Macaca mulatta: one gene and its partners. The protein of the gene in region 1 purifies or fractionates together with the protein of each later gene. This does not show direct contact. Links are inferred from orthologs where the notes say so. Each region holds a gene or a part of one and is shown in the gene's direction. Other genes may lie near its edges. The genes, in order: NRP1, KDR, PLXNA1, UBR2, FAM241A and BCS1L.

Region 1 (5,078 bases):
CTGCGGCTCTCGCTCCCCCGGGGTCTGCGCTGGGCGCGGTCGGCGCCCCTGTCTCGCCTCCCGCCTGTCTGGGCGCGGGGCTGCCCACGGCTTCGACACTGCTCTTCCGCTCAACGCAGGCATTTAACTCCCAGCCCTTCTGTGCCCACTTCCCACTCCGCGCCTTCCAAGGGTCCGACAGCTGAGAAGAAGGAGGAAACTAGCAGAGGAAGGAGGCGCCCGGGCGGCCGAGTCTCCAGCTAGGCGACCGGGAATCCCGGGGCTCGTGGGGAGGAGAAGACAGGCTTGACCCTGGGCGAGAGAGTGGCGAGTGCGGGCCCCACGGGTGCACCCCCCACTGACCCGGGACCCGCCCGCACCCCGAGGGACGCGCGTCACTGCGCCCAGCCGGAGCCGCGAGCGCGCAGTCCTGGCCTGGGGCCCGCGCGCCTTGGGCTTTCTCCCTGCCCGCCCCTTTTTCTTCCGCCAAAACCTTTGACCAGAGTCTCCTTGCCAGCATTCCTACCTCCCTTTGGCCAGCTATTTGTGCCAGGTAGGAATCAGGCTGCACTTTGGCTGTGTGTGTAGACGCCAATCCCCAGGAGGTGTGTGACCTTTTCACCTTACCCACAAACTCCCTGGGAGGTGGCCCGTGGGCATTGACCCTTCTCTGGGGACAGATCGGTGACCGCAACCTGTTTGTTCCCTGAAATGTCCTTGCTTTTCCCATCTACACACGCTTCCTGCAACAGTTCTCGGAAAACCCTCGGAGATGGGCCTGGGGGGCATCCAGCGGGCTGGGGGCACGCGCCGCTGTGGGAAGTGGGGGTGGCAGGAGCTCGAGGGCCGGCGTGCACGTTGCCTGTGGTTGGGAGCGGGCACTGTGAGGGCGCAGCCAAGAGCACCCCTCCCCCGTCACTCTTTCCCTCCCTCCGGATGCACAGAGAAACGGAGGTCACCCGACCCCTGATTTCCACACCCCTCCCTAGCACCTGGGCTCCCAGACAAGGTTGGGTGGTGTCGGGAGGCGCTTGCCCCCCAGCTTGGAAGGCGCAGCACCTCCCCCCTCCGGTGTTCCCTCTGCCCCAGAGGAACGGGCACCAAATCTCGGGAAACAATGAAGCCTCCGCGGCGCGCAGAGGGCACCCGGGAGCGATCGGCACCCAGCCGCGCGCCCTGATGCGGGCCAGTGAGGCCGCGTGGGGCTGTAACCCGGCCTCGCCCGCCAGGCGGTCTGACTTCGCTTCACACTGCAGCGACACTGCCACCCCTCTCCCGTCTTCGCGGTGCGGCTTCCACTCCAGCCCGGCTTTCCCCTCCTCGTCCTCCAGTTCTGGGCGGGGGCCTCCAGGGGTGCCCCACTGCTCCCCGCCACAGGTCTCAGGCTGGCGCGATGAGGAGTGGCAGGGGGTGACCCTGCGCTCCTCGCCGCCGCGGGCGCGGGCCCCAGGATTTGAAGTTGCGAGAAGCAGCCGCCACCTCCCGGGCGCTCCGCACTGCGCGGCAGCGGGATCTACGCCTCCAGGAGCTGCCCAGCTCTCCCTCTAGGGGTGCAGAGCGAGCACGCGAGGTGGGCTGGCCAGACTCCGCGGCTGGCACCGACCTCCGCGCCCCTTCCTCCGACGCCCGCACCCACGCGCCCGGGGCGCAGACTCCCAGCGCCTTCCTTCCCGCGGAGATCCCTGCAGGATCTCCGGGAAAGACAGACAGACGGACGGGGAGAGCACTCGGAGGGAAAGTTGTTCCTCCCAGTCTCCTGTCAGGCAATTACAGGCGAGCCCGAGCGGGGAGAGGGGCGGGATGAAGCGAGGGAAGGGCTCCGGAGTGGGGGGAGGCCGCAGGAGGGGAGGAGGGGGTGCAGTTGGTGAAACTCCTCTGTCTCCCGCTCATCTTTTCATTGCTCGTTCCTCTCCTTCCCGCAGACACCCGGACCTCCCCTGGGCGCCAGCTCCGCGGCTCCAACGGGTCCAGAAACAAGCCGGATTTTTTTTTTTTTTTCTTCCTGGAAATTGGCTTTGGTGTGTGTTGCCCTACCTCCCTCCTCCCCCTCCCACCCACAGCCCCCCCTCCCTTTTTTTTTTTTTTTTTTTTTTTTTTGAGACATGGCCCGGGCAGTGGCTCCTGGAAGAGGAACAAGTGTGGGAAAAGGGAGAGGAAGCCGGAGCTAAATGACAGGATGCAGGCGACTTGAGACACAAAAAGAGAAGCGTTCCTCTCGGATCCAGGCATTGCCTTGCTGCTTTCCTTTCTCCAAGACGGGCTGAGGATTGTACAGCTCTAGGCGGAGTTGGGGCTCTTCGGATCGCTTGGATTCCCCTCTTTGCTGCATTTCCCCCCACGTCCTCGTTCTCCCGCGTCTGCCTGCGGACCCGGCAAAGGGAGAATGGAGAAGGGGTTGCCGCTCCTCTGCGCCGCGCTCGCCCTCGCCCTCGCCCCGGCCGGCGCTTTTCGCAACGGTAAGTGACAGGCGGAGGCGCGGGTGACAGCGGCGCCCAGGCTCCCAGCTGCCCGCCCCGGACCGGGGCTCAGGCGGGGCTTCCCGGGATCAGCCGGGAACAGCCGACTCCCGGGCAAAGGAAACTTTTATCTGGGAGGAGAGATGAAGAAATGAGATCAGGCGGTTTAGGGCAGGAGGATTTCAGGTCTTTGGGCTCCCTCCTGACGTTGATCGTTGGGCTGCGGGGCTTTTCCTTACCTCTGCTACAAGACAGAGCTGCCTACCTTCCCGGATCAGCACGCCAATTATCTTAATAATGTTTCCTCCCAAAGGCAATTAGAAGAGACTCCCTTTCAAAAATCTGATGGCTGTTGAAAGTTAATGAACACTTTACCAGGAGATCTTACTTCCTGGTTCCTTTGCTGTGCCCCTAAGCCGTTTCCTCTGGTGGGTGATGGCCAGAGATATCGGTTTGTGGGTTGATGAAACTCCCTCCCCCGCCTTTGTACATCTTCCCTAATCTGTCTGGAGTATGACTGAAAGTTACATAGTATCAATACAGGAATCTGATATATACAGTGTAAGGCACCAGGATATCTGAAAATCCCTAAGCTAGTTGCAGCTTCCACTCAGCTTTTAAAACCACTCACTGTCAAGTAAATGAAAAACTATACTGGGGTCTAAACAGTACCATGTAACCTAAATAATGTGTTTTAAAATGGGATCTGGTTGTAGGCATGTTTGACTTCACACTGTAAAGTAAGTGCAGGCAAGGGTATGCAATTATCTTTACAGTAAGTCGTCAGCAATTGTTATTAACTAATGATCAAATATTTACTTTTGTCTGGCTTAGATTTCAATCACAGTAATTAGAAGAAAAGAACATCCACTACTTACTGTGGTATATTGTTTTAACAAGAGACCGCCCTCATACCAACAGGAATTTAAATCACATCTTTATGATGGAAGTTAATCTCTCTAATATGCTTTTTCAAGGTTTTGTGATTTCAGCAATGGATTTCCCTCAGCAGCTACCAAGCAGTATTCTAAAGAGATGCTTAAAGCAAAACACATGCAAAAAAAATTATGAACATGGAGTTCAACTTATTAGTGAACCCAAGTTGATGGCATTTTTCTATAATCTGGCAGGAAAGCAAGACACAAAAAATTATGAATGTAGAGTTCAATTTATTAATGAACCTGAGCTGGTAGCATCTTTTTATACTCTGGCAGGGAATGAAATAGCATTCTCGTCCAACTGAAAGAGCTCAAATGGTTGGACTAGAAATTATAGTAACCCTGTCCTCCACAACTCTTTGAGAATAAATCCATAGCAGGGGTGTTCACAAGCTCAATGCAAAGAGCTATCAGACTTTAGGTTGTGAACTACACAAATATATATGCAGTACACACACACACTTCTTAATTTTCTTAGCAGAAATATGGGGAATGCTGAAAATCTGGCTTTAGTTGGTGAGCTTGACCAGCAAAAGCCATGTTGCTATGCTTGAAGTGACCAGAGCCAGAAAATGCCACTGTAACTCAGCAGAACCTCTTAAAGCCATGTCCACCTCCTCTAAGTAACCAGTGTCTGCTAAATTAGTTCATTAACCTTATTTAGGACTAATGGTCCAGAGTCATTAGAAATTGCTCTTTCTTAATCAACTGCTAGAGAGATTTAACAGAGCCAGAGAGTCTAGCAGTCCACATTATCTTATTACACTGTCACTTTCTCAGAAGTCACAGATTAAAGAGCTCTGGTGTGGTACCAAGTCCACCTAAATGTCTTCTGAAGTGACTCTGCTGAGTGACTAGAACCAGGGCTGTTTTATTTCACTCCTGTAACAGATGCCAGACACTACCATGATGTTTGTCCAGAGCTGGAGGAGACTTAATGAGACGAGGTCACTTTCCAAGTTTTCTGCACATTCAGAATAATGCAAGAGTCTCAGTAGAATCACAGAACAGAGTCCAACATGATCATTAGCTGAGATTTTGAACTCCAGTTACAACATCATTTCTTCCTGGCAAACCTTACACTTTTACAAGCCAATGCAAAGGAAACCAGAATAAGACTACCCCCAGTCTAAGGAACAAAGTCAAGCACCTAGTGATTGAGAAAAACAATATAACTTATATTGTCTTCTTTTTTAATTTATGGGAAATGATTTCTGTGATGCATGTAGCTTTGCGCATTTTTGATGTGCACTTCATCTTTCATTTCCATTTGACCTGGTTTTCCTGTAATAAAATTCTGTAGATTTATAAATTCATGCTGAGAGCAAAGAATGCCATTCTCTTTCCACAGAGAATCTATTAGATGCAGTGTTAAAATCTATATATACCATTACTGAAAATTTGTGATTGATAGGCTTATATATTTCACTGCTTTCATACCTGTTTCTCTTGTATAGTTTATGCACCGAATTTTTATTGCTCAAAATTAAGCATCAGTAAATGTGGCAGCATTTCAGGCTGAGGTGCTCCAGTATGAAATCCATCATAAAATGTGACAATGAGAATCTATGCTGAACAATAAGGCAGTCCAGAGACTAGTTTATTTGGTTTATTTGGCTTCACTTGAGCATTTTTGAAGTGAAGGCTCAAAACGAGTTAGCTCACCTTTCCCAGAATGTGAGAATGTGGGTTACCATACATGATA
Region 2 (4,605 bases), on another chromosome or scaffold:
TAAGGCTGAGAGGCCTACCTGAATAAGCATGAGCTTTGCAAACTGGGGAAACATTTAGCAATATATAGTTGGACCTGTGAACAATTCAGGGGTTAGGGGAACTGACCCTCCCTCTGCAGTCAAAAATCCATGTATAGGCCTGGCGTGGTGGCTCACGCCTGTAATCCCAGAACCCTGGGAGGTGGAGGTGGGTGGATCACCTGAGGTCAGGAGTTCAAAACCGCCTGGTCAAAATGGTGAAACCCCATCTCTACTAAAAATCCAAAAAATTAGCCTGGCGTGGTGGTGGGAGCTTGTAATCCCAGCTACTCAGGAGGCTGAGGCAGAAGAATTGCTTGAACCCAGGAGGCGGAGGTTGCAGTGAGCCGAGATTGTGCCATTGCACCCCAGCCTGGGCAACAAGAGCAAAACGCCTTCTCAAAAAAAAAAAAAAAAAAAAATTCAAGGTATAACTTTTGACTTCCACAAAATGTAAATAATGACCTACTGTTGACTGGAAGCCTTACTGCTACATAAACAGTCAATTAACACATATTTCATATGTTATATGTATTATATACCGTATTCTTATAATAAAGCTAGAGAAAAGAAAATGTTATTAAGAAGATCATAAGGAAGAGAAAATATATTTACTGCTCATTAAGTGTAAGTGGATCATCATAAAGGTCTCCATCCTTGTCTTCACATTGAGAAGGCTGAGGAAAAGTGGGAAGAGAAGGCAGTGGTTTTGCTGTCTCAGGGGTGACAGAGGTGGAAGAAAATCTGCTTATAAGTGGACTCATGTAGTTCAAATTTATGTTGTTTAAGGGTCAACTGTAATTGAACTGGAATTAAATTGAACTGGCTTTGAGTAAATCACCTTAATTTTTTGTTAATTCTCTTTCATTTACATAAATGTCTGAGTTTACATGGTAATTTGTGTGGCATCCTACTTATAAGCCTTGGAAAGGATTTTGGATTTTATATCATGAGAATGCATCAGTAAAGTGGAATTGTAAAAATACCTTAGATAATACTATTTATTAGAGTTGTAATCATAAAAGTGGCAACAACTACAACAAGTATGATTTAGTGAGCCCTTACTTTATTAGCTCATCTCATCTTAGTAGTTGAGATTGGAACTCAAGTTCCTGACTACAAAGCTATGCTCTTGACCTCTAGGTCATGTGGCCTCCCTAGCAAGAACTTGAAAGTTTCTTCTGAATGAACAAAATAGAAATCACTAAGTGTCCTAAATTTATTCAAATTATTTCACTTGCCAAGATGCACTTGCCAAAATACACAGAGAGAGACGTGCTCTGGCTTATGTTTTGATAGAAGTACTCTTGTTCTCCAGGATACTTCAGGGAAATAGGGGCAGAAACAAGGAGGTTAGTTGGGAGGCTAATTACGTTTATCCAGGTGAGAGTTGAGGAGTGGCTTGGACAAGGGTAGTTGAGGTAGAGATAGTGAGAAGTGATCTGCTTCTGGATATATTTCAAAGGTAGAGTCAACAGGGTCTGCTGATCAATTCACTGGTTGTGGAGTATAAGGGAAAAAGAGTGGAAGATGACCCAAGTGTTAGCATGAGCAACTGAGTAAATGGTGGTGGTATTTACTGAGATGGCAAAGATCGAGGAGGCAGTGAAATTTAGGGAAACAGTGTTAGATATGTTTCTCTGGAGATGCCTATGAAACATCCAAGTGGAAATGTTTAATATATCAACCTGGAACCCAGAGGAGTCAGGGCAGAAGGCACATATTTAGGAGGTATGTGAATGCTACTTTAAACTTGAGGCTAGAGGAAGGTGTAAATAAAGAGGACGTCTGAAGACTGAGTCCTCGGGCCTATTAACACATGGTGGAAGAGGTGTGTGGAGTGTGTCTTGGGAGCAGAGGAGAAGGAGCACCCAAGCATCTCTGGGGGACTTAGAGAAAGCTGCACAGAGGAGCAAGTGTTTGAGTTGAGACTTGAGCAATCACTAGGCTTATGGGAGTGCACTAGTGGGGAGAGAAAAGCAAATGCAAGCACAGGAGGTGTGGGAGAAACACGGGAGGTGTGGGAGAAGCTGAAATGTGACCCACTAAAAGGTAGTACATGGAATCTTGGAACTGCAGCTACTCAGACCCTCAATGTTTTTGATGTTTCACTTGAAATGAAAAACTAAACCAAACGACCATTTACAATAAGCTGACCTTTAAAAAAAAATTTCTTGCAGAAAAACCTTTTGTTGCTTTTGGAAGTGGCATGGAATCTCTGGTGGAAGCCACGGTGGGGGAGCGTGTCAGAATCCCTGTGAAGTACCTTGGTTACCCGCCCCCAGAAATAAAATGGTAACTACTAGAAATAAACACAAAGCATCATTTCATGTGAGAGCAAATCCTTCGACTGTACTAATTCCTGAGAATTCTTTTTCATAGGTATAAAAATGGAATACCCCTTGAGTCCAATCACACAGTTAAAGTGGGGCACGTACTGACGATCATGGAAGTGAGCGAAAGAGACACAGGAAATTACACTGTCATCCTTACCAATCCCATTTCAAAGGAGAAGCAGAGTCACGTGGTCTCTCTGGTTGTGTATGGTGAGTCCATTCAGTTTTCCTCTCTGCCCAAGATTTATTATGATACATTGTCTTCCTAATCAGCCAGGCCACCATTCCTCTGCCTCCAGCTGCTTCACTCACATCATGGCCGGGCCTATGTACAAAAGTCATCTGGGGTGGTGAAGCTGAAGTGAAATGTAGGACTGTGTGCTCTGGCCATGTTTGTTTAAGAGGCCATGTAAATGAGCTTTGTGGTGGTCAAATGCAAGATTAAAGTAGTGATACCCTCGATAGTTTAAATGTTGTGAAAAAATAATGCCCACAGGGATAGTTGTCAAGTTAAGTTATACTACAATGTTCCCCTCTCATGGAATTGCCCACCTGGCACACAGATGTGTAAGACCCTTCTCCTTAGATTTTGTGCAAAGCTTCTAGTTTGATATTATAGTTGATGTATCAGTGAGGTACAGGCAGATTCCTACTCTGAAGGCTTTTGAAGTTGGCATTGTTGGCTTGGTTGGGGGCTTTTTTTTTCCTTTTTGACAGGAGTTCAGGGTCTGATTTTGAGTCTGTAAAGGCAAAATAGTACGTTTTTGATTTAAAGATGATTTGAACTTTGTTTTCTGAAACTGAAAGGTACAAATAAGTGTTTGGAATGGAATGGTGAGAAGGGTGCCATGGTCAAGTGAGTGTGAGGTGCTAAGGTGATGTGTAGATGTGTAACAGGTTTCTTTATTACAGGGACTTCTCAGAACCTTTTATATACTAATGTATATTGGTATTCTCTAGGGGGAGAGACATAGAGTATTCAAGGTTTAACAAACCTATTTGACTGGAGCATCGTTTTTCCCCTGAGCAAATTCATTAATCTCTCACTCCAAACAGTTTGAGAAATGCTTCTCTGTTGTAATTCTTTGTTCCCCCTTCTGGTATGGCATATTAAAACTTCAGGATATTTTCCCATGGCATTAAGGTGCTTCCCTATGTGTCCTAATACTCTTCTGTAGGCTGCTGAACTTGGCGTTATTTTTTTTTTCAGGGAATATTTTAAAGATAGGTTGGGCATGGTGGTTCGCATTCGTAATCCCAGCACTTTGGGAGGCCGAGGCGGATGGATCACCTGAGGTCAGAAGTTTGAGATCAGCCTGGCCAACGTGATGAAATCCCGTCTCTACTAAAAATGCAAAAATTAGCCAGGCATGATGGTGGGCGCCTGTAATCCCAGCTACTTGGGAGGCTGAGGCAGGAGAATCACTTGAACCCAGGAGGTGGAGGTTGCAGTGAGCTGAGATTGTACTCCAGCCTGGGCGACAAGAGCAAAACTCCGTCTCAAAAAAAAAAAAAAAACAAGATAACAGGTTCCACAGAGGTTGTTCAGAAGCAGCATAGGTGTAGGGGACTGGGGAGAGGAGAAACTGGAAAGTGTATAAGTAGGATGGGAGGAGAAAATGAACGGGAAATAAAAACAAAACATGGACAGCAAATAGCCCATTTCATCAGTTCATGAAGCCACTAAATATTCTATTCACTTTAGCATATACTCTGCTATGTGAAATAAACATAAAAAAGAAGTCAAGTCTTGAAAGCATAACCTGAGGCTTTAAGTTGACAGTAGTAACGAAATAGTTTTGACTTTGGAGTCAAAAAAGAAAGAAAGGAAAAAGGGAGAGAAGAAAGAAGGAAGTGAGAGAAGGGAGAAGGAAGAAAGGGGAAGAGGGAAAGGGAGTGGAGAGGGAGGGAGGGAGGAAGAGGGAGAGGGAATGAAAGACTCAGATGGTGGTGGCAGTAATGCATTCTCTAAAGATTTATGCCTTCCTTTAACATGAGGTGGTTTACGTGTTTGGGTTCAGAAGTCAGAGTGTCTAGGTTTGTTCCAGGTTTTGCCGTTTGTTAACGGAGTGACCTTGGGCAAGTCATTTTTTTCTGTATTTCATTTTTTCTCGTGTATAAAGCTGAGGATAGTAATAGTGGTTGTGAGGATTAAGTGAATGAATTCATGCAAAGCACTTCAAACAATGCTTGGCACATAATAAATGTATTTACTGTGCTATTTCAGCTATTTTCTGTAGCCTTCCCCTGA
Region 3 (5,214 bases), on another chromosome or scaffold:
GTTAAAACCACAATGAGGCTGGGCATGGTGGCTCATGCCTGTAATCCCAGCATTTTGGGAGGCCGAGGCGGGCAGATCACTTGAGTTTGAGTTTGAGACCAGCCTTGCCAACATGGCAAAACAAAAATTAGCTGGGCATGGTGGCACATGCCTGTAATCCCAGCTACTCGGGAAGCTGAGGTGGGAGGATCACTTGAACCCAGGAGGTGGAGGTTGCAGCGAGCTGAGATCGAGCCACTGCACTCCAGTCCGGGTGACAGGGTGAGACTCAATGAGCCTGGGTGCTGTGTCTCATGCCTTTAATCGCAACACTTTGAGAGGCTGTGGTGGGAGGATCACTGGAACCCAGGAGTTTGAGACCAGCTTGGGCAACATAGAGACCTCATCTCTATGTTGAAAAAAAATTAGCCAGACATGGTGGTGCCCATCTGTAGTCGCAGCTACTCAGGAGGCTGAGGCAGGAGGATGGTTTGAGCCTAGGAGCTTGAGGTTACAGTGAGCTCTGATTGCACCACAACACCCCAGCTTGGGTGACAGAGCGAGACCCTGTCTGTCTCTAAAGGGGAAAAAAAAAGCAGACAAGCAAAACCACCTAGTGAAAAACCAGTTCATGCCACTAGATTTGCAAAACTAAAGAGTGCCAAGTATTGGTGAGGATGTGGCACAGCCAGACCCTTCCACATTCCTGCTGAGCTGCTGGGAGTGTAAACTGGGACTTTCACTTGGGAAGACGGTTTTGCTGTATCTCTTAAAGCTAGATATATCCTACCCCATGACCCTGCAGACCATCCCTGGATCTAAAGGTGCCCACTGAGAGGCATGCACAGGATGCTCATCATAGCTTTGGTCATCATGGCCCCAGGTAGGTGACAATTCCATGTCCATCAGCAGGAGAATGGGTGAGCAGGCGCCCAACGCGGCAGAATACCACAAAACAGGCTGCGAGGACGATGCCTGCGAGCAGCCGCCCTGTGCCCCTCACCACACAGAGCAGACGGAGAAAACAGCACAGGCTGAGTGACCCCGTTTCCATAATACCCAAAACAAGCCAACCAAACAGCGTCCCATTCTGGGATGCAAATATAAGAGGTCACACCCAAAGAAAAGCAGTTAAAGATGAACACAAAAATGAGGGTTGTGGCTGCTCCTGAGGAGGGAGGAGCAGGGTGAGACTGGGAGGGACACCTGGGCCCGGTATGAGTCCCTTCCCTTTCCCTCCTAACCATGTGAACTGTAGAGGGTTCCTCTTCTGTAGGGGTGACGTGATTCACACAGCAAAAACCGCACCCCACAGGCTACAGATGGAGGCCCAGTCCCCAGCCGGGTTTTCCTGGCCCTTTTGCTCTGTTATTGATGCTCCCGCTGCCGGCTTCCCCTTGGCCTGGTTGCCCTCCACCGGGACGCCCTCCCGGATGCCTCCCGCCTGCGGGTGGCGGTTGTGAGTACAGTCACCGAGTGCTGGGTGTCTGCCCCTCAGCCTTGCCATGCAGGCTGGGGGTATTGCCTGGGCAGCTCCGGCTCGTCACCCTGGACTCTGCAGCCCCACCCCTCGCACCCTCCAGACCCGCTACCCCTGGCTCAGCCGGAGTTCGCGTCTCACCACGCCTCTGCCACGGGACTTTCCTCCCTGGGCCGCGTCCCCAGCCAGGAATGCGCCACCAGCCTGGGGCCTGCAGGGGGCGCCCGGGCTCCCCGCGCAGGTGCCCCCCCATCTGACAGAGAGGAATGCGCGAGGCCGAGAGCTAGGAACACCCGGCCCCGCAAGGTCTGGGAACTGCGACTGCCTCCTTCAGCCTCAGTTTCCCCTCCCGTGAAAGGAGGCCATGCTCCTAGCCCGGACACACTGAGCCAGGCCCTGTTCCCGGAGTCGCGGGCTACCCCGCTCGAGGGCGGGTGGGCTCCCGGAACTGCTCGCGCGGCCCCGGCACCCAGAGAGTTGAGGCGGGCAGCCGTATCGCCCTTTGAAGGCGCGCGGTGGGCCCCTGCGGGCGCGCGACGCGGGGCAGAGCGCCCTCTGGAGGCCGCCGCCGGCCCCGCCCCCGCCCCGCCCCCGGGCTCTGGGCGGCGCATGCGCGCGGCGCGGCGCTCCGCGGGCGGCGAGAGCGAGGCCGGTCCGCAGCCGCGCGGCGCTCGGCGCCCCATTCATGCTGGGCATCGGCGGCACCACCACGCAGCGGAGCCCGGGCGCGGCGGCGGCCTCGGCCTGGGCGGCCTGCGCGGCTTCGGCGGCCCCGCGGCGGGGCGGGCGGCGGCGGCGGCGCGGGCGGCTGGGCGCGGCGATGGCCGGCGGCGGGGCGCGCCCCGGGGCGGCGGGTGAGTCGGGGCGCAACTTTCCCCGCGGCGCGGGACGGTGGGCGGGGGCCGGACCGGGCGGGGATCCCGGGCCGGGCGGCCAGTGGGTGGGCGCGGGGCGGCCTCCGGCGGCGGCCCTCTCGTGAGGCGGCAGGCAGGGGGTGTGCGCGGGGACTGCGGCGCGCGTGTCCGCGGCCCGCGTGTCCCTGCGGCTCCGGCCCAGGCGTCCGCGTGTGTCCGGGCGCGGCCGCGGCGCCGACGCGGAGAGACCGCACCCCCGTGCGGCGGGGCTGGGACCGCGGCCCGGGGCTCAGCGCCGCGGCCTCCCCCGCCCCCCGGCCGGGCCCGCCGAGCCCCGCGGCAGATCCGGGGCGGCGGGGGGCGGGCGCTGCCCCTCCGCAGACGCTGGGGATAAAGTTTGCGGCGGCCCCGCGGGGAGGCCCTTGCGGTGCCCAGGCCCGGCCCGGCCGCTGGACCTCGGCTTGGACCTCCGTCCGCGGGCGAGGACGGGATGGCCAGGCCTGGGTTGGGATCGGAGCCGCCCGGCAGGGCCGCGGCGGCCGGAGGAGGTCGTGCGGGCTAAGCCCCCGGCCAGCCCTGGGGCGCGGGGTGGAAGTTGGAGCCACTTCCCGGGACCACCGCTGCCACCGCCCCCTGTGGCCCGGGGTGCGGGGAAGTGGGCTCTGGGTGCCGCCTGGGAGGCCGCCCCGCTCGGGCCTCCTCGGCCTCCCCCTCTCGGGGCCTCTCCAGGGTCAGCCGCTTCCCCCGGAGGCTTCCGATTGCTTCCTGGACAGTCCCGGGCCTGGTGTGCGGCGAAGCTGGAGGCGGCGGGCAGATTCCGGCTGCCAGGGGAAGGGGGAGTGGGGACTCCAGGGAGGCCCCTCAGCCGGCGTGAGGTCCCAGGTGCAGCCCTGGAAAGGAGGGGAGGGGTTCCGAGGGGCGGCCCCGGGCCGCGAGCTGCCCCCGACTTCTGTGTGGGGTGCTGGGGCCACGCCCCTTGAAAGAAAGGGGTGTGTGTGCGGGGGAGGGGACGTGGTCGAGCCTCTGTCCTCTCAGCGCGGCTCCTTTGGCTCGGGCTGCTCCTTGCTGCCCCACCTCCTTTCACACGTAGCCGGTTTTGGGTTCGGTGCAGGGATGGGGCGCAGTCTCTGCTCCCCGGGCCCTTGAGGAGCTTGCCTCAGGTCCCCTCACCTTCCTGCGGTTTGGAGTGTGCGGCAGAGGCCAGGTGCTGCACCAGGGGCACCAAGACGCTGCCCAGCCCTTGAGGAGCACCAGCCCCCTGCCAGAGGCAGGCGTGTGAACCAGTGATTCGCTGCACGGCCAGGCTTCCATTCCTGGGGGGTGCCGGTGGGGCCCAGGAAGGGCGTTTTGGGCAGAGAGGACAGCACGGGCAGAGGCCTGGGTTTGTGGCCTTGGTGTGTGCTCTGGGGGCAGGGGACACATGAGGTGCCTGTGGACAAAGCAGACAGCCCTTTGCTGGACTCCTGGCCCCCCATGGTCGTTGCCTGCTTGTTTTGAGCCCCCAGGAAAGGCCCCCGTGCACACAGCAGCTTAGAGCAGCTGGCCGGGAGGAGAGGATGCCCCAGGGGAAGGCCCGCAAAGGTGGGCACTTTTTCTCAAGAGCAGGACTCCAAGGCCTTCAGATCCAGATTCCCTAGGACTGGTGGGGAGCAGGGCCACTGGGACCACCTCCCATGACCCCCGTTGTGGGGGAGGCGGGGTGCCAGGAGCAGCTCTCTTTCCCCAGCTGCTGCTGTGAGCCACCGGGCAGGATGGCAGCCCCACACCCCAACCTGCCTGAGCCATAGCAGGATCCGGTGCAGGAGGACTTGGGGGGATTGGACTCTCCCTTGTGGGGAGGGCTTTGGGGGCCTTTGTTTCTCAGGGTGAGAGGGAGCTGTGGTGTCACCCAGGCCAGGAAAGGAAAGGGGACACTGCTGGCTTGGCGTTCCACCAGGCGGCGATCCCCTCCTATCCAGGAGACGAGCCCCTGGGCTGGGGCTCCTACCCGCGGCTGCCAGGTCTCTCTCCGCCTCTCTCCCTGGCTAGCCCCATCAGCATCCCAGCACTAGTCCAGTCTCCCCCGCCCTGGCTCTGGCTCTGCCTCAGCCCAGAACAGCTTTGGCCATGCCGGAGAGCCACAGCCATTCTTACTGCCCTCTTTGCACAGCCAGTGTTTCCCACCCCAGGCCTTTGCTCCTCCTATTCTGCCCCCCACCCCCACCACGAATGCCCACCTGCACCAGCTTCCAGGCTACCTGGTCCCAGAGCAGGTGGAAAGGCCCTTGAGGACTTTCCCCGGCCACAGTGGCCAGCTCTGCTCCTCGGTAGAGTACAGCATCTGCTGGTGCTCCCCTCCCAGCCCCAGCATGGCCCCTTGGCACGCTGGCACCTGGCACCTGGGCCCAGCTTTGGAATGAATGCATTTTTTCCTGGGCAGACCCAGGCCTGTGAGAGTTGAGCCCTGCAGGCTGGCTGGCCAGCCCAGTCTCTGGAAGCTCAGAATTTGGGCCCTGTCCTGCTGGGACTAGTTGGGTGACCTTGAGTCTGAGCCCCACGTCTTATACCCCTAAGGTGGAAGAAGTAGCCCAAGCATTGTCAGTGGCCTTTGTTAGATGCTGGGCATGAGGGACCCAGCCCTAGGCTTGGGGCTCCCCCTTTCTTGGCCGGCAGCCCTGTGCCCGCAGGCAAGTCCCTTCCCAGCAGCCTCTTTTGGGGCAGTAGGGTGAGGGTGGGGCTTGGGGCGGTGGGCCCAGGGCCAGGCTGGAGTTTGGATGGTGGCTTCTTAGCCTGGTGCCTCCTGTTGAATATAAAAAGTAGGGCCCATAATTGCATTAAGACGTGTATAATTATCCCAGAGGAGGGGAGAGCCCAGCCCCTGGTAATTGCAGGCCTGCTTTGAACTGATAAACGGTGAGTGAT
Region 4 (4,605 bases), on another chromosome or scaffold:
ATTTACGTACTTTCTTGAACCTTTTGTTGTAGACATAATATTTCACGTCTCAAAGAAAAGCTTTTCATTTACTAATTTTCATAACCAGCCATTGGCCTGATAGTTACCTGCAATTGTGGCAACTTTGAATGTTTTTTGTTTAGAGTTTTTTAAAATATTATTCATTTTACTTATTCAGTGTTTTATAGTCACTTATAATGATTATTCCTTTTGATGCTCAAATCATGCCCACTTTGATCAGTGGGAGTTTATTTAGTCAGTTTCTGTGTCCTTTTCACCCAGCCCCATTTGGGCCAGAAAGTACCACCTCACTTTCTGGCCCAAAAGATGCCCAAGCTCATCTTATACTTTCCCTGCCACAGACCGGTAGTCAGCTATTTGCTGAGGTGTTTTTAAATGAATTTATGGTGCTATGATAGGAGTTTATAAATGCTTTGATTAAAAAGGATTATTTCTGTAAATGTGTTCAGTGCCATTTCTTCCTAAATGATAACTGTGAGAATTATGCTACCAGGGGACAGGGAGGAGTAATTTTGTTTGCTTCTAGATCTCTAGTTTTCCTTTTTGCTCTCATCCAAGTAAATGAGAGAAAGAGGAGAAACCACCTTTCCCCACTGAACACTTTATTCATGGATGCCAGTTTTTACCTATTCTTTTTCTCTACCGTATTGTTTCTATGGATTAATACTGTGGTTTTTGCTTTCTTTGTTTCTGGTGTGTTTATTTTAGGATAACCACACAGAATACTCCCTAATTTCATTCACTCATCACTATAAAATATTAGGTTCTTGGCCAGGCACGATGGCTCATGCTTGTAATCCCAGCACTTTGGGAGACCGAGGTGGGTGAATCACCTGAGGTCAGGAGTTCGAGACCAACCTGGCCAACATGACGAAACCTGTCTCTACCAAAAATACAAAAATTATCCGGGCATGGTGGTGGGCACCTGTAATCCCAGCTACTCGGGAGACTGAGGCAGGAGAATCGCTTGAACCCAGGATGTGGAGGTCGCAGTGGGCTGAGATCACACCACTGCACTCCAGCCTGGGCAACAGAGTAAGACTCTGTCTCAAAAATATATATATATATATATATTAGGTTCTCTCTTACTTTCTCTTTCCTTTTTATTAAACGATCATCATTTTCCCTCAACATTACTCTTAATTTGTCTTTAGACATTTTACATAATTAAGACACACGATTTATTTGCAAAGAAACCTCTCCCTTATCTAGAGTCACATCCCTAATGCACGCCACAGAGTTTTAGATGTGATAGAATATTAAAGATCACAAAGGTCAATCTCTTCCCTCTTAGGAAAAAGGCACATTTTTCCAGAATGGCAGCACCAAAATCAAGAAAATCGATAATTGAACATTTCTGACTACAGACTAATAGAAAATATGGACTTAACTCTTATATTCAAATAAACAGTGAATTCCTAGGGGAAGAAATTCATTTTATTCTGAATCTAGTTTTTATTAAAGGCAATGGTCAGAGCAAATAAACGTATTTGTACATATGTGCACCTCTTAATGCTAGTTTATTTTTAGACCTGTAAAATCTCAAGTACACCAGTTATTTTTAGCTGAATTTATATATAATTTTGCTAAAATACATTTTAGCAAATTCGTTTGCTATTAAAAGTCACTTTTGAATGCTTAAAGAATTCTAGTTGTTGGCAGCTTGTTTGTAAAAGGCACATATGTCACATTCTCAAGAAGTATTGAAAATCTCTTTGGTAGAGTCATAATCAAATTATGGGCAATAGGTGTTATAAGCAACTGCATTTATGTTCCTGTGCATAGGAATAAGTACTATGAAGTGTTAGCTGTTGTTATTGTGCCTTTTATTTTTCTGACATAGAACCTGGTGAAGCGCCAAAAAACTCTCCTAGCATACTAGCTATGCTGGAAACACTACAAAATGCTCCCTACCTAGAAGTCCACAAAGACATGATTCGGTGGATATTGAAGGTAAAATTTCCTACATTCTTCTGCTTTTTGTGAGAAATATTAAATATTTGTTACGTGTACATTGTGATGATATTTCATACAGGATACTGATACTTTTTTTTTTTGTAGACTTTTAATGCTGTTAAAAAGATGAGGGAGAGTTCACCTACCAGTCCCGTGACAGAGACAGAAGGAACCATAATGGAAGAGGTATAAACAGTAAAGTGTGATAATGCTAAAAAATTATAACAAGTTCAGTATGAACAAATTAAATTTATCTACAGTAAGTTGCCAGTTACAACATTGAAATTCCAACAAATATGCCACTATTTGTCTCTATTTGTTGTAGCAATTTTTTGTCTGCTTTTTTCCTTTAAAACATGTTAGGTCAACTTAAGAGTCTTTTCTCTTGTTTAAATAAGTGAGATTGTAGAATAGTTTTTAATTGGTATTTACAATAAAGATATTTCTGCTTTGGAAAAAAATGTGTGTTTTAGCATCTAATGGTCTAATTGAATGGAGCATAATTTCAGAGTTCAAGGGACAAAGACAAAGCTGAGAGGAAGAGAAAAGCAGAGATTGCCAGACTGCGCAGAGAAAAGATCATGGCTCAGATGTCTGAAATGCAGCGGCATTTTATTGATGAAAACAAAGAACTCTTTCAGCAGACATTAGAACTGGATGCCTCAACCTCTGCTGTTCTTGATAATAGGTATTAAAAAAAATTAATTTGTTGACCAGTTGTTCCCAACTAGGGGCAGTGTTGCTTTTTTTCCTTGTAAGTATATTTTTAAACCTAAAGTAATTTATTAGAATTCGTAGGTAAATTTTGTGACCTCCATTTAGAAGATTTAATCTTAGAAATCTCTGAATATAGATATGGTAATATAGTAGGGTATTTTCTGCAGAAGATCTTGGACATTCATGAAAGAATGAGTACACTACACTCAGTTATCTAGAGTGTGTGACATCTGTGTTGCAGATTAGATTGCTGTGAGAATTAAAGGAGATGGTTTTGATACATACCAAAGACTTGACAATCCAAGTTATCAAAACCATGTGTTAAATATATACATGCCTGGCCAGACACGGTGGTTCACACCTGTAATCCCAGCACTTTGGGAGGCCGAGGCGGGCAGATCACAAGGTCAGGAGTTTGAGACCAGCCTGACCAACATGGTGAAACCCTGTCTTTACTAAAAATACAAAAAAAAAAAAATTAGCCGGGCGTGGTGGTGTGCACCTATAATCTCAGCTAGTCAGTAGGCTGAGGCAGGAGAATCGCTTGAACCTGGGAGGTGGAGGTTGCAGTGAGCTGAGATCATGCCACTGCACTCCTGCCTAAGCAACAGAGCAAGACTCCATCTCAAAAAAATAAATAAATAATAAAAGTGGGCCGGGCACAGTGGCTCATGCCTGTAATCCCAGCACTCTGGGAGGCCGAGGCAGGCAGATCACGAGGTCAGGAGATCAAGACCATCCTGGCTGACACAGTGAAACCCTGTCTCTACTAAAAAATACAAAAAATTAGCTGGGCATGGTGGCGGGCACCTGTAGTCCCAGCTACTCCGGAGGCTGAGGCAAGAGAATGGCGTGAACCCGGGAGGCGGAGCTTGCAGTGAGCCGATATCGCACCATTGCACTCCAGCCTGGGTGACAGAGCGAGACTCCGTCTCAAAAAGAAAAAAATAAAATTTAAAAAATATATAGATATATATGTATATGCACACATACATACCTGTAGTCTGCTATTTTATGATTATGTAGAAAGTTTTTGGGATCGTTAATTATATTCATAACCTTTGTATTGCAGCCCTGTGGTTTCAGATATGACACTTACAGCGCTGGGCCCCACACAAACTCAGGTTCCTGAACAAAGACAATTCGTTACATGTATATTGTGTCAAGAGGAGCAAGAAGTTAAAGTGGAAAGCAGGGCAATGGTCTTGGCAGCATTTGTTCAGAGATCAACTGTATTATCAAAAAACAGAAGTAAATTTATTCAAGATCCAGGTAAGTCATAGCTAGATCCTCATCTTCCCGATTAATAACAACTACCAGTTAATGTGGTTGATGATACATTGAGATTTTTTAAATCTAAGAATGACTCCATAGACTTGGATGGTATCTTTGGCAGGTAACTTAGGCAGGAATTCCCCACTTGGCAGATGTGGAACCACTCCAGAAAGTTACATCTGAATCATATAGCTGATAAATAGCAGGGATTCAAAGTAAAGCTTTTCTTTGTGATGTAACATTACATACTTTGGCATTTCACAGTCTTTCCCATGCTTCAGTACACTTGCAAAGCCTTGGTCATTTGTTGACACACTGAAATAATAATTGCTTTGTCTTATTGATAGAGCCTGAGTGGAATCTCCTGAGAACAGTGATAGAGAGTTACCTATGTAAGAGGCAATCCTTGAGCCAAATTCTGACTTAGAATAGTGATACCACCACAGATCGGGTTCCCCAGAAAGCAGATTCTTGAGATACAGATTACTGTGCAGGACAGTTGAGGGCCCTCTTTCAGCAACTGAGGAAGTAAAGCAGGGAGATCCAGTCTGTACATGATTTTGTCCACTGACACATTTATTTCTCTGCTTGTAGGTTGTGCTCTGTGTGCATATGCTTGAGTGATACACAGTAAAC
Region 5 (5,120 bases), on another chromosome or scaffold:
GTATTTGTAGTAGAGATGGGGTTTCACTATGTTGGCCAGGATGGTCTCCATCTCTTGACCTTGTGATCCGCCTGCCTTGGCCTCCCAAAGTGCTGGGATTACAGGTGTGAGCCACTGTGCCCAGCCAAAAAAAAAGTTGGTTTTTATAAGAAACACTACTAATAGACAAACCAAAATTCCAAGAATGAAAATGTTGTCTTTAGGGGAAAAATAATGAGGTCATCAGAGAGGCTACTGGGTTCCCATGGTGACATTTGTTTCTGATTATACGTATATAATATTAAATACTCTCTTCTGGGGTTTTAAAGACTTTTAAGAAAGGGAATGAGCCAGATTCATTTTCTTTCTAATTTTTGATATCCAATAGCATATTTTCTGGCCCCTAGAGACTGTTTGTGGAAGAGACAATTAGAGAGGGCGTGTGTGAGAAACTATGTGTGAGAGATGGTGTGTGCGAGAGGTTGTATATATATGAGACAAACTATATGTATGTGAAATCATGTGTGTATGAGAGAGATTGTGGGTATGAAAGATTGTGGGTGTGTGAGAAAGACTGAGAGTCTCCTGACTACAAAAAACAGGAAACAGGTCTTAAAAATAAGCCTATGGGATTCTGCCTATTTTAATTCCTTTTCTGGGCCTGAAAACATTTTAATAGAAGGTCCCAAATAACTCTTACTCTTCTTCATGTGTACACATGTTTACTTTCCATATTTACTTTTCTGATATTTTACCTATACAATAACCCATCGCTTTCTCAATGTACAGATAAGGCATACACAGAAAAAAGTATATTTTATTTAAACACCCCTCCATTTTCCTTGAACAAAATGGATGGGGTAGTACAAAAAAGAATTACAAATTGGATATATTCCCCTTACCACCCACTAAGAAAGATGTATTCTTAGCCAGTTATAGAAAGATACACCATTGGATACACCATCAAACGACCCAAGGCTCCAATAAACTACACACACTAGGAAGCACTCAACAGAAAGGGACAAATACACAGACCTTCAGTGAGACACTAGGAAAGGAGGCTAAAGGAACAAGAGGGACAGTGAAATGTGTGTTCCTTGAAAAGGATGGGCAGCTACTCAGGCAAGAACAGGGGGACCCTGCTGGAGAGTGTAACTGGGTGTATGTGTGTTTCTCTCTCACATGCAAACCCACACACACTCATCTCTTACACAAATGCACTCTTAAATATATCTACTGGCTCTCTCACACTAGTTTCTCTTTCACACTTGATCTCTCTGTGTTCTGTTGTTCCCTCATACAGTCTCTCTCTCACACAGTCTCTTGCATACACATACACTCTCTCTCTCTTTCTTTCTCTCTCTCTTTCTCTCTCTCTTTGAGATAGGGTCTGGCTCTGTCACCCAGGCTGGAGTGCAGTGGTGTGATCTCTGCTCACTGCAGCCTCGACTTCCCGGGCTGAAGAAATCCTCCCACCTCAGCCTCCTGAGTAGCTGGAATCAAAATGCCACCACCACGCCTGGCTAATTGTATTTTTAGTAGAGACGGGGTTGCCCAGGCTGGTCTCCAACTCCTGGGCTCAACCAATCCTCCCGCCTCGGCCTCCCAAAGTGCATACAATCTCTTATATGCAGTTTCTTTTCTATAGAATCTCTCTTACACACACAAATGACGCTCAACGTCTGTCTCACACTCTCTAATGGTTTCTTACACACGCACAATGTCCCTCATACATACACACAGCCTCTCTCATCGTGTACAATCTCCCTCATGCAGTCTATGTCCATAGTTTTTCACACAACCCCCTTCTTCTCTCAGTCTGTCGGCCTCTCAATCTCTCACACACATCCCCCCCAACACACCCCGTTGGCCCCGCCCCCTGTCTTGGCCCCTCCCCTGTATGGCTCCGCCCCGACAGCCGGGGGTTGGGCGAGCCAGTGACAGGAGGGGCCGGGCTGGTACTTCAGGCGCCCAGGCCGGCGGGGCGCGCTCCGGAGGCTCCTGTCAGCTGCGGGTGCGGCAGATCGCAGGGCAGCCCTCGGGCGGCGGCGCTCCCTAGTGCGTCGCGGCGTGGTCCTCCGGCGGCTGTCCCGGGCGGCAGGAGTTGGTGGCGGGATGTGCTCAGCCAGGGAGCTGCTGCGGGGCGGCGACGGCGGGGAGCGCGACGAGGACGGGGACGCGCTGGCGGAGCAGGCGGCGGCAGGGACCGAGCGGGATCCCGATGCGAGCCCGCGGCGGCGCGGACAGCGGCCGAAAGAGAACGAGCAGGTGAGCGCGGGGAGGGGCGGCGGCGGAGCGTCAGGGTCTGGGGCCGCGAGCCCCGCCCAGCGGTGGAGGGAAGGGATCAGGCCAGTGGGCCGCGCCGCAGCTCTGCCCCGCGTGGGGCACTGGCTCCGCGGCTCTCTGGGAAGCCGCCGCCGGGAGCGGTTAGACGGCGCTCCCGGGAGGAACCGCGGGGTCGCGCGAGTGCGGACGCCAGCGCCAGCCGCGGGGTCGCGTGTCTGACGGGGTCAGTGTGGCCAGTCCCCTGGCGTCCGGCAGAGGATTCTCAGGCCGGCGCCCAGGGCTCGGAGGAAATGCCCTCCATAGTGGTGATTTATTTAAAAGCCTCACTTGTAAACACTTCTTTTTCAACTTCGAGTCCGTGCCTTGCGCCGGGACTCCCCTCCCGCCCTCCATCTTGCGTTTCCGAGCCCACACCTAGCGTGTCTGGAAGGTGTGGGTGGATTCCGTCCAAGGGCAGCGCTGAAAGCATGAGTAGGAGCGGGTGTTACAATGGATGTCTTGACAGGGACTCTCCCAGAGCGAGTTCTTCACATAAACACAGATGAGATCAAAGCTTCAGTTAAGAAGTGGAGAGGCAAGAATATTGCTTTCGGTTAGCATTATACTAAAGAGAAAGAAGTATAAGAGGCCAGCCATAATAAGGGAAGAGAGAAGTTGGGTTATTTTTTAAACTCGCTGAGTTTGATCTCATTTAAATAAAGTGTGATAATGGGCATTATAACATCAGATATCTTAAAGATTAGACAAAAGGTTTAATTTTAAAATTGAATTGTATGTTGGATGAATTTTCTACAGCAAATACAGTATTTAGACTTTCCAAATACCTGAGGTAAGCCAATCTTTAGAATCACGTTAAGGCGCAGGAATTCAAATGATTATTGGCCTTTATTACAGCCTGTACTGTTAGAACAATTAATACCTGTCTCTCCTCATCTTTCTTCATCTATCCTTTCTGTCACATTTCACAAATTCCAGTATCATCACTAAATGCGTTAATAGATGTATACCTTATATTGTTTCAATAGGTTACTTAGGAAACAGAGTAACACTGTGCAGCACACAAAATATGCCTTAGCGTTAGGTTTGTTCACCACGTGGAGTGTAATTTTTCATCTGTGACAATATAAGAGAAAATGACTCAAGCAAATAATTTGGTAGCTAGTTCTTCTGATTGCCTTCCTAGTGGTTTTTCCCGTTAACTGTACTCAGTTGCTCAAGGGCTTGGTTTCCTCTAGCTTAAATTGCTCAACTGGAAAAGTGAAGAAGACAGCACAAGAATTCCTTTGGGGGTGGGGAGGGGGTGCATTTGAGCAGGGGTTTCCAAAGTAAATTTTCAAATGGTTGTAAGGGAGCATATAAAATACTTCATTTAAGCTTCTGTGCACTTCATTAGTATGATTATGTAGACATCACTAATAGCTGTGGTCTTTCCAAAATTGCTTATGTTACAAAGTAAAAGGATAAAACAAAAAATGAAATGTATATCTTAGAAAACAGATATCACTTTGCATACCTGCTCCTTCATTGAATGTCATGAAAGTTCATTTTTCATTTTCCTGTACTCTTTTGAAGTGTTATTTTTATCATTCTCTTTTTGCCTCAAGATTTATTAATGTATTCGAAGCCCCCATACACAATAATTAAAAATCACTTCTGAGATAGGCATTACCTACTACATTAGCAGCAAAGAAGAATTTGTCAAGAAGCCAAAAATAAGCAAAAACTTGGTGCAACCCAACCCACTGGTGTAAAAAGCAAACTTTTCTGATAAATCGTTTCTTGGTAATATTATATAAAGCCTTGCTGTTTTTTTTCAAGTCCTGTAAATGTAAAACTGTTATGCGTTACATGTGTAAAGATATTTGAGGGAGAAATGTAATTAACAACAATGGAACATATCCCAAGGACTCGTTTTATTTAGCTTTTATTTAAGGAGATGATTTTTGTTTGTCTTCTTGGTGGTTTTAAGGATACAAGGACGCCAGATTACAAATGGAATATTTTTGAAAGATTGGTTTCTAAGTTAATGATTTAGAACTTAAGGTGAACTTTTCCATGAAAACCATGATATAAACAGAAACAGAACCAAAACTAATTAGCTAGAAATGAGACAGAGGCCATCTTCCTGCCGTCTTTTCTGCTTGGCACGCTCACTTGGTGTTCCAGAGTCATGGATAGCCTCATGGATATTGAGAGGAAATTAGAGGCAGGAGCTAGCAGAGGCGCTCCTTCTAACCCGGAAAAGAGCTATGGTTGTATGCTCTTGAACTCGGTAACTCCAGAGGCACCTGACTTGTGCTCCTCTAACTCTTTCAGTGATTTTGTCAACACCTACTTTTCTGTACTAAGTCCCTTTCTATTTCTATTCCCCTCACAGAGTTTGCCCTTTCCTGATAATTTGATGGAGGTTTCTTTCTTGGGCTATTTCTCAAGCTAAAGCCTCCTCCACATACATCCCTTCCTTCACTGATTTTTCTTTCCACTTCTATCTGAAAGGTTCATTCCTTTTCCTCAACCTGGAAGGCTGTTTGATCAGCTTGTTATTATAATACCAGAACAAAATGTATCTTTATTTTGTTATTTATTTCATATAATACTGAAATGCTAGTATTAACATAGGTGTTTTATTACTAGTTAAGATATTGTCTGCATCATTTTTTACAATTTGTCCTTAGATGCTACTCCATTTGAGCAAAAAAAGAAGGTTCCCCTCTGTCCTTCTGGCCTGAGTCTTTCCAGGTAGGGTGACTGACAAAGGAGGCCTGGTTAAAATCAAGTCACTTAAGAAAGAAGGCATTGGGAGAATGAATCAAGTCCCGTAGATGAAGAAACTGTGCCAGGTTTGAAGTAGGATC
Region 6 (5,389 bases), on another chromosome or scaffold:
TCAGTCTCTCTCCCTAGATGTGTAGCTTTTTAGTAATTTGTTGACATTATCACTTCAATGACATCACTTTGTGATACTGATGTTATCACTTCAACGAACACAAATCACCCACAATCGAAGCTTCCAGTGAAGAAGCACAGACATGGAGCTGCACTGGAGTAACGCTAGGTATCTTGCACTAAACCAGTGGTTCCTCACCTATAGCATAACACGTTTGTAGAAATTTCAAACTCATTAACTGACTATGGCCTCAAACTAAATATGGGAACATAACTGAGAAATGAATGACAATTAAATTGCATACCCTGTTATACATGGCTAAAATGAGTTTAAGCTGAATAATTAGTAATTAATAAGAATGATAGGAATCACTTCATGAAATTGAGTCACAGAGAAGATGCAAAAAGAAAAAAAAAAAAAAAAGAAGAAACCAGGCGGGGCACGGTGGCTCACGCCTGTAATCCCAGCACTTTGGGAGGCCGAGGCGGGTGGATCGGGCGGGCCGATCACCTGAGGTCAGGAATTCGAGACCAGCCTGGCTAACATTGTGAATCCCCATTTCTACTAAAAGTACAAAAAAACAGTAGGGCGTGGTGGCACACGCCTGTAATCATCCCAGCTACTCCGGAGGTTGAGTGAGGAGAATCGCTGGAACCTGGGAGGTGGAGGCTGCAGTGAGCCGAGATCGCATCCAGCTTGGGCAACAAGAGCGAGAAACTCCGTCTCAAAAAACAAACAAACAAGCAAACAAAACCCAAGATCCTGCAATCTGATAGTCCCTATTTCCAGAATCCCACGACTCAAAACAACAGATCATAGGGATTCACAAGGTGGCTGGGAAGTGTGCACTCCCGTGGCCAGAGGGATTCTCTGGAAACCGCAGTCTCCACTTACTGAATATTATCGCTGCTCTGGGGAATCTTCCAGCTTGGCCATACATGGCCTCCGGGGGGAGCCAAGGAGGACGCTGAGCCGTCAAGATTAAGAACCTTCACCTGAGGAAGGGCAAGGTGAGGTAGGAGACAGGTGGGCACGAGAGAAGAAATACGCTTATCTTCCGGGCAGGAGGACTGAGGAAGAGAAAGGACAGACTAAGGCAGAGAGGAGGTCTGGAGAAATAACGGGTCCCGGCCCAGGGACCCAGGTTCCCACTTGCCTCTGGCTCTGACTCACCGCGTAGCCTTGGACAGACACAGTCGCATCGCTTCTCTGGGCCTCAGCTTTCCTGTCTGTAAAATGGAGGTGATGACAGTGTCCACATCGTCGGGCGAGAACTGGATCATAAGAGCCAGCGAACGGGAAAGGCGGCTTGTAACCTGGAAGGCTTGGGATGGAGCATCGTCATGATTTTGGTCCTGAGAGCAGCGGGTACCGGGCGGGGTCCAGAAGCGTGACGCAACTGCGGTGCCGGGGCCCAGCTCCTCTGGGTGCTCCCTTCAGTACCTCCTCCCGAGAGTTCCCAGAGCCCAGGCCCACCCTGATCCCGGGGCTCGAAAAACTTTGCCTCCAGCTTGCTTCACCCGCGTTCCCTTCCCAGTTCCGCCCCGCAGCTACTCACCTCCACACCCCGAGCCGGCTGGAGCCGCATCTCTATGGTCGGCCGCGGCTGGAGCGGCCCCCGGTGCCCCCTTTGTGCGACCGCCTCCGGCCCAGCCGCCTCTAGGATATTGGGGATGTGGAAGCCACTCTCTCTTCCTCTTGCCGGCTGCCGGGGTACTCTATGTTTTCTCTCTCTGGTTTTTCCCGCCCTCCACCCCAACTCCAGCCCTGAAGCCGGAGAAGCACCATCGAGAGCTCTGGGATAGAGTGGCGCGGGCTTCTTGGTGGGTGTGGCGGGAAGTCGATGAAAGGACCCGGGGCGGGGCCGAGCGCAGCTTCCCCAAAGTGCAGGCGCGGTGAAACCATCGAGACAGAGGGCCAGAGAGTCGTATCGGTGAGAAGGCTGAGCGACGGATTACCCCAAAGCATGTGGCTGGAGGCGCGAGCTGGGGTGTGGGCGAGGTTCCTGGGTGTCGCAGAGGGGCCGGAGGCGGGAGAGCTTTGTCTGTGGCCTTCCATGCATAGGTGTTTTGGAATTCTGGATACCAATTCTGAGGCTCAGCCGAGGTCTCTGCTGTCAGCTCATCTCCCTGCATGCCAGGGGCAGGGCAAAGTGGCCGGGGTTCGGGGTTGGAGGAGAGGTGTACTAGAAACAACTTCGCGCTTATCCCTCAGGATCTTATTGTCTACAATGTGACGATCCGTGGAGAAAGTAGCAGATGGGCAGATTTTCAGTTGGGGAGAATGAGGGAGAAAAGAACGGGCATTCCGAGCCAAGAGAACTGCATGAACAAGGAGTTGGGAGGTTGCTTACTTGTTGAACATATTTGTTGCGTATTTGCATATTTACTGAACAGGTAGTGTTGGGAGCTAATCCATGAAAGGTAGGTGGGCGCCGTATTGTAGAGGGCCTTGAGTACCAGGCTGAGTTTGTACCCAGTTCAGGGGTCTGTTGGGAGCCAGCCATTGAAGGTGCTGGAGCAGAGAGAGAGATGGAATTGGAGCTTATCCCTATGATGAAAGATCTGGACCCTTTTGTAGCTGTTCCGTGAAGCCAGAGGTGAAGACCTTTTTTTTTTTTTTTTTTTTGAGACAGAGTCTCGCTCTGCCGCCCAGGCTAGAGTGCAGTGGCGTGATCTTGGCTCACTGCAAGCTCCGCCTCCCGGGTTCACGCCATTCTCCTGCCTCAGCCTCCCGAGTAGCTGGGACTACAGGCGCCCGCCACCTCGCCCGGCTAGTTTTTTTGTATTTTTTAGTAGAGACGGGGTTTCACCGTGTCAGCCAGGATGGTCTCGATCTCCTGACCTCGTGATCCGCCCGTCTCGGCCTCCCAAAGTGCTGGGATTACAGGCTTGAGCCACCGCGCCCGGCCTAAGGTGAAGACCTTTTAAAATGCCATTTCAAGAACTATGATTTTAAAGACAGTTTAGGTGGGAGGTAATAAAGGTATAAACAGGACATTAGATATTGGGGATGTAAGGGTGAGGATATTTGAAGGACATTACTCATAACAAGGCATAGGGTTACTGACAAGTCAATGGATGCTTCTCCTTTGCTGACTGCAGCCAGTGGGCCCCTTTTTATCAAAGCTGGTCCCAGGGACGACAAAAATCTTGTCCATCCATTATCCTGATGTGAAGCCAGTTTATATAACTCTTTTTGGTTTAAGGCATCTCCAGACATGGTCCTCTGGTAGGAAACAGGTATGAGTAGACTAATGAAGGGCAAAATGGGATGAGGGGCCTGGAGTCTCCACCCTTGCATTCCAACACTACCCTTACCCCACAAAAGGAGGATATTGACCCACACAGTAGTGCTGACCTGTGGGCAGGGCTGGGGAGGTCCAGTTTCTAAAGTAATCTTGTGCTTTGTCCCTTCTCCACTGTTCCCCACCCCTAGGTTTTTGTAACACCCCAGGTCCTGTAAGGTTTGGTGTTTCCCTTTCAAGATGCCACTTTCAGACTTTATTCTGGCCCTGAAGGACAATCCCTACTTTGGGGCTGGATTTGGGCTGGTGGGTGTGGGCACAGCCCTGGCCTTGGCCCGGAAGGGTGCCCAACTGGGCCTGGTGGCATTCCGGCGCCATTACATGATCACACTGGAAGTCCCTGCTCGAGACAGGAGCTATGCCTGGTTGCTTAGCTGGCTCACCCGCCACAGTACCCGTACTCAGCACCTCAGTGTCGAGACTTCGTACCTTCAGCATGAGAGCGGCCGTATTTCTACTAAGTTTGAATTTGTCCCCAGCCCTGGAAACCACTTTATCTGGTAAAGTTGGGAGCTAGGGAGGGCTGTGCGAGTAGAAAAGAACGATGGAAGCTGGGTTTGACCCATTCACTCACTCTGTTTTGATCGTTCTTATTCAGGTATCGGGGGAAATGGATCCGGGTAGAACGAAGTCGAGAGATGCAGATGATAGACTTGCAGACGGGAACTCCTTGGGAATCTGTCACCTTCACGGCCCTGGGCACTGACCGAAAGGTTTTCTTCAACATCCTGGAGGAAGGTGTGGGATGGCACAGGCAGGCTTTCTCGGGACATTGCAGGGATGGGGACATTTGACATCAGATGAGCAGTTTGGAGAGGTGGAATAAGCAGGCTGTGGTGAGCCCATGGGAACAGGGGGCCAGAAGGAAGCTGTTTGGCTCAGCTCCACCTAACTGAAGAATCAGCCATGGTGAAGAGAATTACTGGCTTTATCTCTTCTCCTTCCCAGCTCGAGAGCTAGCCTTGCAGCAGGAGGAAGGGAAGACCGTGATGTACACAGCTGTGGGCTCTGAATGGCGTCCCTTTGGCTATCCACGCCGCCGGCGACCACTGAATTCTGTGGTTCTGCAACAGGGTCTGGCTGACCGAATTGTCAGAGATGTCCAGGAATTCATCGATAACCCCAAGTGGTACACTGACAGAGGTGAGAAGCAGCTGGGGTCTCGGCTGTGCTGTTTTTGACATTTTTAGAGGGGACAGGTTGGTCTCTGGCCAGATGAGGTGATATAAAGCTCTAGTCCAATTCCCAGAGATTAAGAGGAATGAAAAGTTGTGTATGAGAATGATTTACTTCTGTACCAAGATTATCAGGCTTCCAGGGGCCAGGGCTGGGAATGAACATAGATATCTGGGGCAAAAGACATGATCATCCTGGCTCTATCCCTAGGCATTCCCTACAGACGTGGCTACCTGCTTTATGGGCCCCCTGGTTGCGGAAAGAGCAGTTTTATGTGAGTATTCAAAATTTCTCTTAACTTGGCAAAATGAAGCCTTTTTGGAAACGCTGGGCTGATGGGGTTGGAAAGGGAAATGAATCTGGGAACTTGGGACCGGGGACCAGGATAAACATGAAATGTGTGGAACATTAGGGTGTGAGGTAGAAATCAGGCCTCTGAGACACAAGTCCCCAGACTGTGAGGAGAGTAGCTGGGCCTGAGGAAGCATTTCCAGGTTGCCTGCTACTTCCTGCCATCCCATCCTCCATAGCACAGCCCTGGCTGGGGAACTGGAGCACAGCATCTGCCTGCTGAGCCTCACAGACTCTAGCCTCTCTGATGACCGGCTCAACCACCTGCTGAGCGTGGCCCCGCAGCAGAGCCTGGTGCTCCTGGAGGATGTGGATGCTGCTTTTCTCAGTCGAGACTTGGCTGTGGAGAGTAAGTGAGGGGTTCTGGAGGAAGGGGAGTGAGTAACTGTGGAACAGGGGAAGAAAACAGAAATCCAGAGGGCTGGTGGAGGATGCCTGGGTTAGTGACAAGAGCCCATGAGACGCATGGATAAGTAGGGGAACATAGTGGGGCATGCTGATTTTATGCTGGGCTATGACTACTCATGCTTCCTTATCTTTGCCTTCCTCCAGACC

The links.
Region 2: the proteins of NRP1 (region 1) and KDR purify together in Homo sapiens (affinity purification with western blotting; 7 studies listed by BioGRID and IntAct, with this or other methods). This does not show direct contact. The link is inferred for Macaca mulatta from reciprocal best matches to the Homo sapiens genes NRP1 and KDR.
Region 3: the proteins of NRP1 (region 1) and PLXNA1 purify together in Homo sapiens (affinity purification with western blotting; 4 studies listed by BioGRID). This does not show direct contact. The link is inferred for Macaca mulatta from reciprocal best matches to the Homo sapiens genes NRP1 and PLXNA1.
Region 4: the proteins of NRP1 (region 1) and UBR2 purify together in Homo sapiens (affinity purification with mass spectrometry; 3 studies listed by BioGRID and IntAct, counting the BioPlex papers as one, with this or other methods). This does not show direct contact. The link is inferred for Macaca mulatta from reciprocal best matches to the Homo sapiens genes NRP1 and UBR2.
Region 5: the proteins of NRP1 (region 1) and FAM241A purify together in Homo sapiens (affinity purification with mass spectrometry; 3 studies listed by BioGRID and IntAct, with this or other methods). This does not show direct contact. The link is inferred for Macaca mulatta from reciprocal best matches to the Homo sapiens genes NRP1 and FAM241A.
Region 6: the proteins of NRP1 (region 1) and BCS1L purify together in Homo sapiens (affinity purification with mass spectrometry; 3 studies listed by BioGRID and IntAct, counting the BioPlex papers as one, with this or other methods). This does not show direct contact. The link is inferred for Macaca mulatta from reciprocal best matches to the Homo sapiens genes NRP1 and BCS1L.

What each region holds. Positions count from the first base shown.
Region 1 is NC_133414.1:34,717,846-34,722,923, reverse strand, and holds the start of NRP1 (neuropilin-1), read left to right. Parts: upstream 1-1,872; 5' UTR 1,873-2,362; coding exon 2,363-2,435; intron 2,436-5,078. UniProt on the Homo sapiens protein: Cell-surface receptor involved in the development of the cardiovascular system, in angiogenesis, in the formation of certain neuronal circuits and in organogenesis outside the nervous system. Mediates the chemorepulsant activity of semaphorins.
Region 2 is NC_133410.1:78,388,353-78,392,957, forward strand, and holds part of KDR (vascular endothelial growth factor receptor 2), read left to right. Parts: intron 1-2,198; coding exon 2,199-2,313; intron 2,314-2,400; coding exon 2,401-2,564; intron 2,565-4,605. UniProt on the Homo sapiens protein: Tyrosine-protein kinase that acts as a cell-surface receptor for VEGFA, VEGFC and VEGFD. Plays an essential role in the regulation of angiogenesis, vascular development, vascular permeability, and embryonic hematopoiesis.
Region 3 is NC_133407.1:156,974,344-156,979,557, reverse strand, and holds the start of PLXNA1 (plexin-A1), read left to right. Parts: upstream 1-1,715; 5' UTR 1,716-1,765; intron 1,766-2,081; exon of another isoform or gene 2,082-2,144; coding exon of another isoform or gene 2,145-2,228; exon of another isoform or gene 2,229-2,313; intron 2,314-4,688; exon of another isoform or gene 4,689-5,205; intron 5,206-5,214. UniProt on the Homo sapiens protein: Coreceptor for SEMA3A, SEMA3C, SEMA3F and SEMA6D. Necessary for signaling by class 3 semaphorins and subsequent remodeling of the cytoskeleton. Plays a role in axon guidance, invasive growth and cell migration.
Region 4 is NC_133409.1:139,480,506-139,485,110, reverse strand, and holds part of UBR2 (E3 ubiquitin-protein ligase UBR2), read left to right. Parts: intron 1-1,864; coding exon 1,865-1,974; intron 1,975-2,082; coding exon 2,083-2,163; intron 2,164-2,486; coding exon 2,487-2,665; intron 2,666-3,766; coding exon 3,767-3,966; intron 3,967-4,605. UniProt on the Homo sapiens protein: E3 ubiquitin-protein ligase which is a component of the N-end rule pathway.
Region 5 is NC_133410.1:121,399,508-121,404,627, forward strand, and holds the start of FAM241A (uncharacterized protein FAM241A), read left to right. Parts: upstream 1-1,881; 5' UTR 1,882-2,094; coding exon 2,095-2,247; intron 2,248-5,120.
Region 6 is NC_133417.1:123,899,336-123,904,724, forward strand, and holds the start of BCS1L (mitochondrial chaperone BCS1), read left to right. Parts: upstream 1-1,920; 5' UTR 1,921-1,933; exon of another isoform or gene 1,934-1,966; coding exon of another isoform or gene 1,967-2,106; exon of another isoform or gene 2,107-2,915; intron 2,916-3,438; 5' UTR 3,439-3,487; coding exon 3,488-3,807; intron 3,808-3,905; coding exon 3,906-4,045; intron 4,046-4,255; coding exon 4,256-4,450; intron 4,451-4,693; coding exon 4,694-4,757; intron 4,758-5,013; coding exon 5,014-5,183; intron 5,184-5,386; coding exon 5,387-5,389. UniProt on the Homo sapiens protein: Chaperone necessary for the incorporation of Rieske iron-sulfur protein UQCRFS1 into the mitochondrial respiratory chain complex III.